Caenorhabditis elegans: one gene and its partners. The protein of the gene in region 1 purifies or fractionates together with the protein of each later gene. This does not show direct contact. Each region holds a gene or a part of one and is shown in the gene's direction. Other genes may lie near its edges.

Region 1 (2,876 bases):
TTTTTGCGCCAGATATACGGTAGCCGGTCTCGCCACGAACAATTTTAGTTAAATGCGACAAGGTCTCGGTTGTTGCGGAATTTTTATAGAATTTCATAGTTTTTTAGACAAAAAACACTTTTATTTATGTTTAAAACAACTCAAATATAACAATAAAACGCATGAATTCCAACAAATCGATGCTACAGTAATCTTTAAAGGCACACGTCTTTTCACATTTCCTATGCTTGTCGTGTCGAGACCGTGTGCCGTATTTCTGGCGCAAAAAACAACAAAATTTCGCTTTTGAACAATAATTAAATAAAAAAGAAATTTAAAAAATGAGACGTGGGAATTGTATACGGTTAATTTCAAAGAATTCACGGGAAAATTCATTGAAAAAATTCAAATCTCAGAAAAAAAGTGAAGAGTGAACAGTTTTAGAAACCTTGTCAGTTTGGAAAACTACGTGATAACTCAAAAGAACGGAAGAAAGTTTCTCACTTTTCCGTGTCTCTCTGTAATCTCTTGACAAAGCCCACTATTTCAGGCCATCAGAGAACAGGGTCGGGAGGATCACGCCACTCGTTTCAACACTCAGTAGTCCACAGCTTGCACTACCCACATTGTTTCTCCGTCTGCGTATCCACGTCTTATGTTGTCTCTCGCATTGTCTTTCTATTTCTGAGTCTCTTGCACCTCTCTGTCATCATGCATATATACAATTGAAATGGAAAGGACAGACTGCACTAAACCGAAAAGCACGTGGTCTTGTCTGGGAGGAGAAGAATGTTGAAGACAAATCACACGACAACGTGATATGTGACGTCACAGAGGGGAGTCCCCACGTGACAGGTACTTTAATGAGACAGAGAAAGTTCGAAATGTTGAGTCACGAATCGCGAACGGAATTGAGCCGAGTGGAAAAAAAGAGTTGGAAATTTCGAGATGAGCAGCCAGCTGATTTAGTCTACAGTAATCTAGAATAACTAAACAAAAGTTTTTGAACCTATTCCAGCTTTATGAGTCATGAAAAATGGAGCGCAGCAATAAAAATATGGTGTACGAATTTCAGGAAATACTTCTCGTTAACAAAGATAGTTTGAAACTACAGTACTGTTCAAAGCGCTGACATGGTTGTGTCTAAGAAAAATTGTCGTACCGAGACCTGGTACCGTATTATTATAGCAAAAATCGCGAAAATCTGCATCTGAATAATATCAACTACATAACTGAGATCGTGGCGAGACCCTAATGAAATTACGATAATATAAATAATATTGATTCAAAACTGTGATTCTTGCTTCTAGTTGTTGCAACACATTCTGATCTGTGTCTCCCTAACCTACTTCCGATTTTCACCAAAAAAACCGTGTGCCCAACCCAAAATTCAAGGTCAAACTTATTTCCATTTCCCCGTACTAATTGTTTCCATGTCATCCCATTTCTGTCCATCCTGCGCACATAACATTGACAAATGGAGTTGTGTATTTATTGTCGAGTGCACGCTCTTTTCTTCGAGCGACATGTTTTCTCAGCTGGCTGAGCATTTTTTCCCGTTGGTTTTTATGTTGCGAAACGACAATTTCTCTTTTTTTTAAAATATTTTCAAGCCGAATTTCAAAATTTTAGAATTAAAATGCAAGTTGTTCGAATTCAAACCAACATCCGAAGTGCTGATATTCCAGAAAAGTTTGAAGTAAGTTTGCATAAAACGAAATTTCTAATTTCTAATATTTTCAGCAAGATGTGATCTACAATTTATCAGTTGTAATGGAATTACCAGCTGATAAATTCGTGATTATTGTTGAGCCGGCAGTTAGAATGAGAATTGGATTTGAGAATAAAGAAATTCCAGTTGCAATTGTAAATGTGCGTTTTTTTTTATTTTGAAAAAATATTAGGCTTGGGTCTTGTCACGTGTAAAATTTTTCAGCTACAGTAACCTGTGTATTTTTCAAAATCTGAAAACTTTTTTATAATTAAAATTTTTTTAATCGAGAAGAAATGTGTGAAAAATAGAAAAACTAACTAGATTCATAAAATATAAGTTAATTTTATGAGAAAAATATTTTTAACTAAAAAGTGATAGAATACCGGGGTACGGTAGCTGACAAGTTTTGGACGTGCCGGGACCAGAGACCGTGTTTTTTTTTTTTGAAAATGTCAACTCGTTGAAAATTAAGAATAACAATTTTCAGTTCCAAACAACCCGGCCTTCTTCTCGAATCGAAAATGACTCATATGCAAAAAAATTGACATCAGTGCTCAATGAGCAGTTGAAGCTTGATCCCGCCCATATTTTCATATCATTTGATTTTAAAGATGCAAAAAGTTTTGCAACTCAAGGGAAGACAATTGCTTCTTTGTATGAATAAATTTGTAAAAAAGTTGAAACGCATGGATTTAACAATGAAGTAAACATCTGAAAACATCGAAAAAAACAAGACAAAGCATAATTCATAAGTTATTTTATAGCAAAAGGGAGGGAGCAAAATTAGCATTAATGAGAAATAGAAACTTTGACAAGAAAATGTAAAAATAAGTTATGCTGAATATAATGACTAGAGTTACATAAATTATTGAACGGAATGTGAATAAGAAATCACACATTAATTTAGTTACAGAAAAGCTGGAAATAGTTTGAGATTGAGCTGGCTTATTGGCTTTGCTGTTGGATGTTGGTGAGCTTGGATTCTGAAATTAAAAATCTTTGAATTTTTTCTTGAAAGGCTTAACCTACCGAGTTGGGTAACATAATTTTCAAGAACAGCGGTAGCTTCCTCCAATCTCCGGGTGCTCTCATCCATAGCATCAATTTGGGAAAGATATGGACGCAGATTCTCGTCTGGAAAATAATCTTTCATAAATTTTCCGAAATAAATAATAAAGGCATA
Region 2 (7,787 bases), on another chromosome or scaffold:
AAGTTTTGAAGGCGAGAGAGTGTGGAAGAGGGAGAGAGCGCAGTGTCTGCGCACTCCCCTCCCCCACACTTTCTCACCCCGTCGAATTTGAAACGCGTGTAACTCTGTGGAAAAAAGAGGTAGAGAAACAATGATAACTGCAAAAATGTAGAGAATTTTGAGGAGAATATTTTGTTGGCTGAGAAAATTTTGATATCTTCATTTTTCAGGAAGATATAGGGGGCTTAAGAAATATTTAGTTAAAAATTCGTAAAACCACGCACAAACAAGTAAAAAATAGCGCGAGTGCTTTTTAAAGCAAAACATCTAGCAAAGGTTGCACATTTTCAAACTAAAAATTTATATTTTTCAATAAATTCAAAGGCACATATGCTCTCTGAGACAAAAAGTGATAAATTGGAAACCTTATAGGATGAAAAGCCAGAGGGGGAAATTGGTTGGTTAGCAACCACCTGAATCCAGTTTCCGTTGCTCTTGGAGCACACACATACGGAAAGGTGGACTTATTGCGTAGAGAATGCAACTATACATGCAAATAGAAAGGAAGGAACTGTGTGTGTGTGTGTTTTGAGAGCGAGACGGGAGAGGGAAGCGATGCTCTTTTTTTCCAATGATTCACTAGGTATTGGTCATTTTCGTGGTAAAACAAACAGTTTCAGACAGTAGAGTATAGGGAAATTGATAATGAAAACTAGACGGAAACATTATGAAATATCATTTGGAAAACTAAAAATTGAAAATTCAAATTCAAACATTCATTTTTCATAAATTTCATAAATGCTAAAACTCAAAACGTTATCCAGTAGAAAATCCAATTCTACACATTCTTGTCTTTTACACTACCTCTCTATCTTTCCTACCCGCCGAGTTACACCACGCTGAAGTTTTGGCGGGTGAGAGAGTGTGGGGGAGGGGGAGAGCGCAGGCAGTGTCTGCACTCTCCCCCTCCCTCGCGCTCTCTCACCCGCCAATCTTAAAACGCCTGTCACTTTGAGCAGAGGAGTGCAATTAAAATATTGTAAATTGCAAAAATGTACAGAATTTCAAGGCGTATATTTTGTTAGTTAAGTAAAATTTGGTAGAATAAGCTTCCGGTTAGATATGGCACTTTTGGCTCTTACCCAATAAATGCAGAATATCTTTGTAGAGCAAAACACTGCTCAAATACACTTTTTAGTTTGAATTTCAGGAAAAAAAAACAAGAAACTAAAAAAAACTCCGAACAATTTGTTTTTATTGCAATATATAGAGAATCAAATTCTGAACATTTTTCCTTTTTACAATATTTTTGTATCTTTCCTCTCTGCAAAGATACACCTCTTCTAAGTTTCGGTGTTGAGAGCGTGGAGGGAGAGGAGAGTGCAGGCAGTATATCTCTCTGCACTCTCGCCCTCCCCCACACTCTCTCACCCCAAAAAACTTCAAACGCTCACAACTTCACGCAGAGAAATGCTATCAAAAAGTGTTTAACTAACAAAATGTAGAGAATTTCACGGGGTATATTTAATTTTTAATTAAATTTTCGATACGATTTATTTAAAAAATATGTTTTTAAAAATAATTTATCACGTAAAAACTTTTTAAATCCATTGAAAAATCAATCTGCTTCATTTCTCCAAACCAACCATGGTTTTGTTGTTCAATTTTCTGAAACTTATGCTTTTTTCGACAGTGCATGGAATTGTTATCGAGTTTGGTAAGGAGACCTCTTCGCTGGAGCGCGTTTGCAGCCCCTTTCTGCAAAGTCTCAAATCTACTGTTTTTTTTTCAGAAAGACGAGCGGAACTCTACTCCCTGTACTCCTCAATTCCATTATCAAAAGACACGTGGAGATTTGAGAATTACCTGAACGTTCACAAGTACAACAATATACTATTCGACGGAAAAATCTTGGAATTCGACTCACTGGGATGGTTAAATGGGAATCAGACGATTTATCACAAATTACCATATTTTATATCGAATCCGGCGTTTCGAATTCCTCATATATCAAAGGAATTGTGTGATTCTAACGGGTTCTTTAATATTGGATTTCGCATTTTTCAGGTTTAATTTTTTTTTCTATTTATTCGATAATTTTTATATAATATTGTTGAATTTTAGCTTTTCGGGCCTAAAAATCTATAAAAACGGCAAAAGTTCGGTGGAGCGCGTTTGCACACTCGCGAATCGTGCCAAGACCAGTTTTAATCAATTTTTAAGATCATAGACAAATGCAGCTGTTTTTCTGCTAGATTTTATATGTTTCTAGTGAGCAAATTCATTTCATGAGCAAAAGAGAAAAAAAAATGATTAAAATAAATTTGGTGAAGCGCACTTTTACACGTGGTGTCAGGCGTTTTCCATAAAGTTTTGTAGATTTTAGTGTTAAAGTTCAAAATTTAGACATGTTATAGAGGCGTAGCGTAAATTTGAATGATCTACAATAAAATGCGGAAATTTTTTGCCCAGTAAAATGTGTCGCCAGCACACTTACAAAATTTGTTGAGAAATCTGCGACTCAATTCCCGCATTTTTTGAAGATCACACCGAAATGGGACACTCTGACCACGTGTTTTATTATCTTTTGCGGGCTTATTCACATGAAAAAAACCGTTTTTTTTCTATAAAATTTTGTAGATTTGAGTGTAAAAGTTCAAAATTTAGACCTGTTATAGGGGCGGAGCGTAAATTTTCAATTGTTTTTCCCGCCCCTTTTTTTTTGAGATCGCCTTCCCCCGATATTTAAATTCTCCAGAAAACGCTGCCCCTGCATCAAAATCAACGTTATTTTGCAGAAAACTCGCGAAGCGGGCCTCCCGTACCAACCGCAATGTGCCACGTGTCATCCGATAATTGAAGGTCTCCATCAAATGTACTACGTATTCCCGGAACGTGATTTCACTCAGATTTTCACGAAATTGACGATCGGCTCTCGAAAAATCAATAATTTATTGCACTATTGTAGTCGGGAGGATTGTGAACAGGAGCCACGTGTCTCGAATTTTCAGGATTACTTGAGAATTAATAGTGAGTGTATTATTTAACTTGGCTGAAAATTAGACGAACTAGCTGAAATTACCCTCAAAGTATCAGAAATTTATTTCTGAATTCAATGAGTCTAGTTAAGCATAGCATACATATCACAAGCCTTCATTATCTCTCAAGGGTACTCCTAAGGTGCTTAGTAGGTACAGTGCACCCAACAGCTACTTTTTTATAGAAAACTAGTATTGGAATTGGAATCAGCATACCAAAAAACCTATGGATCTATAATTTTATCATGATATCTCAAAAGTTGAGTGCAAAAGAGCAAAAAGTTGAAAAATCGACCGCCCAACTGCTATGGGACCCCCCCCCTGCGATTTTCGACAATTTCGCCGAAAATTCTCATTTTTTCAAGAAGCATAAAATTTTTCAGTTTCAAAAATACATTTAATGTAGTAATTTGGTGGTGTAATTTTTGTTTTTCATATCATCGAAATAACTGGAAACCTGCAAAAGCTTGATTTTCAACTTTTTATGACCTTTAAGCCCGACATGAAGCTACTGAGCGGGCTATTTTTTTAAGTTGTAAATGGCTTTTAGCAAGTTTTTTGGTGCCACTTGGTGTTTAAGCTCGTATCTGAGCAGCCGATGGAGCTTTCTTTACAAAATTTTACAGGCTATTTTGCTTAAAAATCCACAAATCATGCACCATAAACAATAGCTTCATCATACTTAAAATAATGTAGTACCATTAAAAACCCTAAGCTTAGTACTTTTGAAGCTTGTATAGTTTATCTAGAACTAGCTTATATCTGTAAATCATCCCGAAATTGAGCCAAATTAACTGAAAATTATTGTGAGCACATTTTTGATTCCAGTCCCTGTGACGCCGTTTTCCTTTTTATATCTTTTGCCAAACTACACCTTCCACAGACCTGCATTTTGGAAAGGTGACAAGATGGAGTGGAGAGCATGGAGCCACTGAAACCGACAGAGAAGCTATAGGGCTCCCCAATGGAGAGCTGGCGGTTGGTTTCCAGGACTTTACTCTCTGAAAAACTCAAAAATTTACAGATTCATTCTCGAAAAATTGAAGGATTTACTACAATGTGTGGAATTGAGTTGAATGGTAAAATTGTGAGCAGCTATAACTTTGTGAATGAGGATATTATTGGGGACGGAGAGCAGAATGGTAAGCTTTATTGACTTTATCGTATAGAAATTCAAATTCTGATTCTTTCTTCGTTTTCCATGATTTCTCTATCTCTACTCCCCGCCGAGATATACCCCGCTTTGAAGTTTTATTAGCGAGAGAGCGCGGAGGAGGGGGAGAGTGCAGACACTGCCAGCGCTCTCCTTCTCCTCTACACTCTCGCATTGGGAAAACTTTGAAAGCTTGTAACTTTGCGCAGAGGAATGCTATCAAAGAGTTGTCAACTGCCGAAATGTATAGAATTTTAATGAGCATATTTTGTTAGTTGGCAACTTTTTCGTGTGATCATTTTTTAAGGAAAAAACTCAGAAATTCCAAAATCCATATAACGTTCTTTATGGATCCCTAGTTAACAACCCTTTCATTTTAATTTATCAGGAAGATATCAAAATTCTGGCAATTAGTTGACAGATGACAAAATATAGAGAATTCCATTGAAAATACAGTTTCAGATAAAATCTTCACCTACGAAAACTACGAGTCTCTGGAAATTTCAATAAACTCTGTGAACGACACTAAGAACAATATTCAATTGTTCATCTCCTGGGATGATTGGGGTTGCTGTTCGGCGTGCTGCTGTCCCACCTCAATCTGTGGACATGATTATGAGACTGCTAGTGATTGGTCAGTTTTCACCTCTTATTTTTAGTACATATTTAAAATTTTCAATGAAAATCAATATTCCGCTCGCACCCGAGTTGGGCATTTGTCGATTAGGAAGTGGAAAATGGAAAAGGAAGCGCAGGTAAGATGGAAGTTATTTGAAGTGGCTGTAGCTTTGTAATAGTACAAGCTACCAAATAGTTATCAACTGACAAGTTGTAGGAAATTAATTTCTCTACAGATTACCAACTTTTTGATAGCTAGGTAACTTTGCGGAGATACAGGAGTTCCTCCAAGATAGTTCGAAAGCTTTCTAGCTCCGTTCAGATGTAAGATCTCAAAGTATTGTTAGCTAGCAAAATGTAGCAAATTAGATTCTTTATAGAATTAACTACTTTTAGTTAACTACTTTTTGGCACCTACAAAATTCTCCGAGTTATAGGAGTTTTGAGATAGCGCTTCACTTCCCCCAGAAGACTAGCCCAAAACCTGTCTAATCCCGTTCAGATACTTGATATCAAAAAGTTGTTATCTATGATAGCAACTTGTAGAAAATTAAATTCTCTACAAAGTGTTCGTTTTACAATTCCCATCACCTCTCACCATTTCAATTTCCAGCCCAACCAACCCAGCGAGTCACTGAACCAACTTCACAGACTGCTCTCAATCCCTCCGTATGCTCATCAGGGAATTCCATTGTTCTCGTCATTGTTGAAAAGAATTGTGCTTGAGGATATTTTAAGAGATATCCGAAGTGATTTGGTGCCAAAGTTCATTGTAGCTAACAAGGCTGCTGGGTAAGTTGAAAGGGAATTTTTAGGTTTTGAGGGGAGGTGGTTAAAAGCTTCTTTAAAACCCCCATATCTTTGCGCAAAAATGAGATACGAAGAAAGTATCAATTAATCAACTTAACTACTTTAAATTTGCTTGAAATTTCTAGTTGACAAGTTTTCTGTAGCTCTTACGGATTCGGAGCTACAGAAATCATAAAAACAGGTGTATTTTTGCGTGGGTGGGAGGCAGAATATTTGTTTTAATTAATAAAATAAACTACATAAAATTTTCTACAAATTGTTAGTTGACAACTTTTATGTAGCTCCTATTACCACCGAGATAAAGCCCGCTGAAATTTTTCTCAAAAATGCTAAAAAACTTTTTTTTTTCCAAAGTTTCAAAATCTTTTTCGCCCATCTTGTAGAGCATGAAATTCTGAGCATTTTTCAATTTTGAGATACACCGCTTTAAAGTTTCTGCGGTGTCTGCGCTCTCCCCTCGCCACACACTCTCTCACTTACCTTGCAAACTTAAAACGCTTATAACTCTGCGGAAAGCAAAGCTAATGAAATTTTGTAAATGGACAAAATATAGGAAATCGAATTCTCTACATTTTGGCAATTAACAGTTTTTTTGATACGACTGCTGTTTCCAGGCACAAATTCACGTCTGGAATGTTCATCGAATTAGAGTCCTGCAAGTCGAATATTCAAAAGACGAATTGCTACGAGTGGGCCAAGTGCCACAATATTTCGATGGTAAGTTCAGTGTAGACAGGCAGGCATGTAGGCATACCTACGTTTAGGAAGACGTCCACGTGGAATCCGAGGAGCAAGTTTCCGATTCGTGTCAGCAAGTGCAATTTATCGATGTGCTCGTTGGAATGGATAATATGAAAGTGACGTGGGTTTTTGCTTCCTTAGTTCAGTAGAGCGCAATTGCAAAATGGGAGACATTGATAAGGACTCGATCATGTTTAAATTTGATTAGGAAATTATTGTCAATCGGATGCAATTGTGCTCTATCGCAAAATTTTCTGGAACAATCGATATTAACAATATCGATTTTTTATTATCGATTCCACAAAAATGCCTACTTGTTCGATAGAGCGCTTTTACATCATCAGGAGCAAAATTATCGATTTTTCAGCGTCGGAGCCCACCAACATCTCCGTATCCGAATGGATTCAGAAGTTCACGATATGCGAACCACGTCCGCCAAATGGAGAATTGATCTTCGAAAACCCAAAAAATACGATAAGAACCGCCCGTGTCTGCTGCAGGGAACCGTGCAACGTGGCGGCGAGCTACTCATTCTTGACTTTTCCACGTGGCACATGAAAATTGATTTGATTTTGGCGAAGGAACGGAAGAAGGTTCGAATCACTTTTCATAATTTAAAGTGAGTTTGGAAATTTTTTGGGAATTTTTCAGATTTTCTTTTTCAGATTTTCAATTTTCAAATGTTTCCAATTTTCCCTGAAACTTTTTATAACATTTAACAATTTCGATTTTTTTCAATTTTCAGAATTTTTCGAAAATTGCTACTAGTTGGGAAAATTCTGGGAAATTAATGTTTTTTTTGAAAATAATGGAATTTTATCGATTTTCCAGAATTTCCTGGAGTTTGATTTATTGCCAAATAATTTTTGGAAAAGTCTGAATAGTTAAAAAAAAAGTTGAAAAACGTCCGAAAAAACGTCGGAAAAATTTCAAATTTTTTTAAGGTTTAAAAATTCAAAAAAATGCGATTTTTAAAAAAAATTTTTGATTTTAGAATTTTCGGGATATTTCAGAAATATCGATTTTACAGAATTTTTTGAGGCTTTTCATGGAATTTGGAATTTTGGGGAATATATATTTGATAACAAATTTCGAACTTTCAGAGTTGACGAGAAGGTTTCTGCAATACAAAATACTGTATTCTATTGGGCGCTGGCAATTGCTGGTAAGAGTTTTTGAAGAAAATTAAAATTGAAATAGTGAGAATTTACAACAAAAAATTCCAATAATTTAATACTTCTGAAAACTTATCGCGTCTAATGAAAGTAAAATGCTGAATTTCAAAAAAAAAGAATCAGCTCAAAAATAATAAAACATTTTCAGCATTCTTCCTGCTTCTCGTCACTGCCGTCATTTTAATGCACAGAGAGAAGACACGGCGTTTGGAGAAAACTCTTAAATCAGTTAATTCACACTAGTACATTGTCGAGAGAACTCGGATTTTATAA
Region 3 (4,269 bases), 4.3 Mb from region 1:
CGACTTGCCTGAAATTTTCCGGTTAGAGAATTTGCCGGGAATTTTCAATTCGGCCAATTTGCCGGTTTGCCGGGAATTTTCAATTGTGCCAATTTGCCGGTTTGCAGATTTGCCGGGAATTTTGAATTCCGGTAATTTGCCGGTTTGCCGATTTGTCGGATATCAATTTGCCGGAAGTGTTTTTTCCGGCAAATCGGCAATTTTCTGGTTGGCCGATTTGCCTATAATTTCAATTCTGGTAATTTGCTGATTAGCCGGAAAAAATCGTTTGCCGCCCACCACTGGAGTAGAGTCAATTTTTTTGCTTTAAATAATAGAAAATGGGCCGTAATGACTAAATTCAACAGTAAATATTAGTAGGCAAGAATTATAATAACAGTTCAGTTTTGAGTTTAACTACCGTACCCTTACAGTACCCATACATTTAATCAACTCATATGAGTAGGGTAATAGGTGTAAAGAAGCTCTATACAAAGAAAAACTAATCTCATTCATTTTAAGATGTTCCAAGAAAATATTGGTTTCCGTTTCGCATGTTCATATATTTCCAATAACTAACATCTGGATGCAATGCAGGAAAATATTATTGCGGTTAGAATTTCCTGGAAGACGTTGGGAAGATGGGTATTTGTTTTTCAAGCTGGACAATTTTTAGATTATTTGTTTTAGAGCAGTACTTGGATTTGGGGAATTTATGAAAACCTGGAAAACTTAACAGGTAAATAGCTAAATTTGCATAGGGGTTATTTAGATTTTTTTTCGGCAATTTTGTCAGTTGTCAATTTTCCTATGAATAAATTATTTTTGCTATGCAATCTATGCAACAAAAAGAACAACGAAAAACTAACGGAAAGAAGCCCAGAAAAATTATTTAATTAGTGAAAGCGTCGAAAGTTTGGCTCTTTTCTTTTATTTCCAATTAACATATATTCGGTCAGAAAATTTGTAGACTCTATGTGATCAATGTTCTTGACTAGTGAAAAGGTACCGACTATGCATGTTGATAATTGGTAAGTGAGCATAGTTGGTACCTACAATTTCTACGTCACAACATCTTGACCGTTTTTCCCCCACAACGGGAGTGGCCTGTGAGCGTATAGAGAGAGTTGAGTTTGTAGAGATACACAGGCAATATAACTGCCTCCTACATATTTTGCGAGAGAGTGACCTTTAGCAGGTGAGCCTGTACAACAGTTTTGGAGCTGACAAAATCTGATGCTGAAAAAGAATTCGTGTGTCCTGCTGTGTGGAAAAACTGTCAAGATGTTGTGACTTAGAAATTGAATGTACCAATTACCACATGCAAACTAGAGTGCGAATTAAATTATTTCAACTTTCGGTCACTGCGGCATAACATTGACATCATGGCAAAAGTTCAGATTTTCGTTAAATTTGCATTTTTCTCCAAATTGTGAATCAACTTAAAGGGGGAGTAGAGTTTGTGGATATTTTGCTTAAATAGACTAAAACTGGTCCAAAACCACCGAATTTCATAATGAGACATCACAAAAAATTTCGAAAACTTTCGAAAAAAAAAAATACACGAATAGGAACATTGCAATCATTTTTAAATTCTTTTTTATTCTGCTAAGTTCCAGGTAACCCCAAAAAAACTCATGTAGCCAAAAATCTGATCTTCCATTTCACTTCTGTCTTTTTTAATGTCCAATTAACATTATTTCCTAATTAGATAAGAGTGGCAGATCAAGAGCAACCTAAACCAAGTTTTGCCAAAATCTTGCTCAATTTATGGCCCGACACGAGAAAAAGCTAGAGTTAGCACAGAACAGGCATATTTTATTTCTCCTACAGTGTAATACTTGCACGAAACGAAATTATTGTTAACAATGCAACTATTCAGAACCAGCTAGAGCAGCTGACAATGGATGAAACGAAGCTTTTGTCTGAAGTTTCTGGCTCATCGATATCAAGCACTTTGTGGTTCTACAACACTGTGATTATGAACAGCGTTGTTGAACGTCTCGATTTTTTTGATATGTATGTAAAGTCTTTTGATTTTTTTTAGCTTGAATTTTATTTTTTCAGACAAGTGCTCCGTAAAATTTCTTATGGAAGCCGTCAGTGCATCGACCTTATCAAACCAGACCATAAATTACTCAAAATCGGCATTCATGTTCAAAGCATTGGGTGCGCACTTCTTGAGATGTTTACCGAATCCACAAACCGAAAAGTTTCATATAAGGCTTCAAGATTATCCAGAAAATCTAGCGAGTTGGATTACGGCAACTTTTCAAACGACTTGTTCCTTATTTTGAAAAATCAAAAATCTGCTTTGGAAGAACTTAAAATGAATTTTATGCAAGTTGATGAAACCAGCGAGTCAAGTTTCAAGGATGTTACGGAAGAAGAAAAAAAATACATGGATGAAATTGAGGGGAATCCCCAGGAAACAGAAAGTCATTCAATCTGGGACCAGAATGAGAATCGATTTTTGAAATCGTTCAAAGATTTGCACGCCTCGCTGGGTCGATTGCTGCCAGTGGAAAAGTTGGTTGTCACAACAAGAAACCAAAAAACCATAGTGCAACTGCTCCAATCCGTGGATCCCTCTAAGCTGAACAAAATTGAGTTTGGAACATCTTTCGACGTACCTGCAAGTGATGTATGGAGCATTGAAGAGTTTTTGGTCATGGAACAATGGAGGAATGCGAAAGAGTTGACAATTATTAAGCGTGTTATCAAGTGTGATGTTGAAAATCTTGTTCACTTCAGAAAAGTTGACATAATTTTGGATTCGTTATCATTGAAAAATGTTATATATTTGAGAGATGTGAGTTCGAATATCTCATGTAATTTTTAAAAAAAAATAATTTCAGATGTTCCTAGTTTCACCGGACTTTCTCCAGTTCAAGGTCACATTTGTGAACAGTGACGTAAATAATTCTATATTTCAAGAAGGATTTTTGGGAATTCCGTTTCGCATAGTTACCGATTCTACAAATAATCAACCTAGCATTTGGTTTTTCAATTGCATGAACGACACAGATGATCTACAAATTCGATATTATCAAAATCTTAAAAAATTCATGTTTAATCGTATTCCGAGGGAATCTAGTCCGGCTATTCCGAGGGAATCTAGTCCGGCTAGGTGCTAGAGCTGTTGTAAAGGTCACTTCCCTGTTCCTCGCCAACGGGACGAAAAGTTGTCCCTAATGATTTTTTTTTCAAATATTAATTTTTCACCTGATTTAAACTAGGGCTCCCATGAGGTCGCCGCAAAGGCGCCTTCGCCCGCCTCAGCGGTCGCCGCGCCGGCCTCACGGCGTCACTCTCGCCTTTCACTGAATTACACATAAACTTTTATTTTCATTTCTTATATTTTTTTTCTAAATTTTCAACGAATTTTTGAAAATTAAAATTTAAAATTCACGTCATTATTATTGAAAGCGGCGAACGGCGAAGGCGAAGGCCGGCCGGCGTGAGGCCGGCGTGAGGCCCGCATTTTGCGCCTCACTCAGCTGGGAACCCTAATTTAAACAATACTTTCATGTGCATGAATCTTTTGTACGTTTAAATATAATTTTTAATGGCGTGGATATAGATATTTCACGTACTATTTTTATAAATAAATAAATTCACTTATAATAAATTTAAACATTTATTTCTTAATTATTCTCAATTTACTGTGCACCTTTTCATATTTTACGGTAAAGTTAAATGTATCTAAATATTTGTTTAACCTGAAAATATTGTGCAACATAAAAAAAAAAAAAATATATATATATACAAAATGGACGCACTTTGACAAAATGAAAGCATAAATCAATAATAAGTCTCACTATGAGAAATGATTGAATAATTAAATAAATAAAAAATTTCAAGCTGGAAACTTGCTGGAAAAGGTGATAATTGAACTTTTTCTTAATTAAGAAATTTTCTTCAAACGAATGTTTCCGCGGTATTAAATTTTTTTATTGAAGCAAAAAGCGCAGAGATCGAAGATTTTTACATAAAAATTCCATATATTCCAACAAACATGGAAGAATTTTGAAAGAAGCACATGAGAAAAAGCACCGAATAATGATGAATTTTTAACCAAAAAATTCGAAAAAAATCACAAAAATACAGAAAAATTGAAGAAGCCGGGTGATTGAAAAAAAATCAATAAATTCATAGAAGAAATTGAGCAAATGATCCGGGGGGCGGGGAATTCAATATCTTACATTAAAAAAAACATGCTAAAATGTGAGAGTACTTCGTGTCAAGACCCGTTAAATTTGAAGAGAGGATTTTTTTTATAATTTTTTA

Evidence for each region.
Region 2: the proteins of mif-4 (region 1) and Y54E5A.2 fractionate together in Caenorhabditis elegans (co-fractionation; one large-scale study listed by BioGRID). This does not show direct contact.
Region 3: the proteins of mif-4 (region 1) and R05C11.2 fractionate together in Caenorhabditis elegans (co-fractionation; one large-scale study listed by BioGRID). This does not show direct contact.

Annotation. Positions count from the first base shown.
Region 1 is NC_003282.8:6,334,730-6,337,605, reverse strand, and holds mif-4 (Macrophage migration inhibitory factor), read left to right. Parts: upstream 1-1,611; 5' UTR 1,612-1,618; coding exon 1,619-1,678; intron 1,679-1,722; coding exon 1,723-1,851; intron 1,852-2,180; coding exon 2,181-2,357; 3' UTR 2,358-2,376; downstream 2,377-2,876. Other genes in the region: blos-2 (Biogenesis of lysosome-related organelles complex 1 subunit 2), read right to left, coding at 2,639-2,676, 2,723-2,827.
Region 2 is NC_003279.8:14,692,544-14,700,330, forward strand, and holds the start of Y54E5A.2 (Recep_L_domain domain-containing protein), read left to right. Parts: upstream 1-1,610; 5' UTR 1,611-1,626; coding exon 1,627-1,696; intron 1,697-1,771; coding exon 1,772-2,046; intron 2,047-2,777; coding exon 2,778-3,009; intron 3,010-3,900; coding exon 3,901-3,995; intron 3,996-4,041; coding exon 4,042-4,159; intron 4,160-4,632; coding exon 4,633-4,804; intron 4,805-4,897; coding exon 4,898-4,925; intron 4,926-5,401; coding exon 5,402-5,580; intron 5,581-6,212; coding exon 6,213-6,315; intron 6,316-6,362; coding exon 6,363-6,460; intron 6,461-6,706; coding exon 6,707-6,958; intron 6,959-7,442; coding exon 7,443-7,504; intron 7,505-7,662; coding exon 7,663-7,757; 3' UTR 7,758-7,787.
Region 3 is NC_003282.8:2,056,725-2,060,993, reverse strand, and holds R05C11.2 (DUF38 domain-containing protein), read left to right. Parts: upstream 1-1,882; coding exon 1,883-1,998; intron 1,999-2,046; coding exon 2,047-2,791; intron 2,792-2,837; coding exon 2,838-3,116; 3' UTR 3,117-3,616; downstream 3,617-4,269.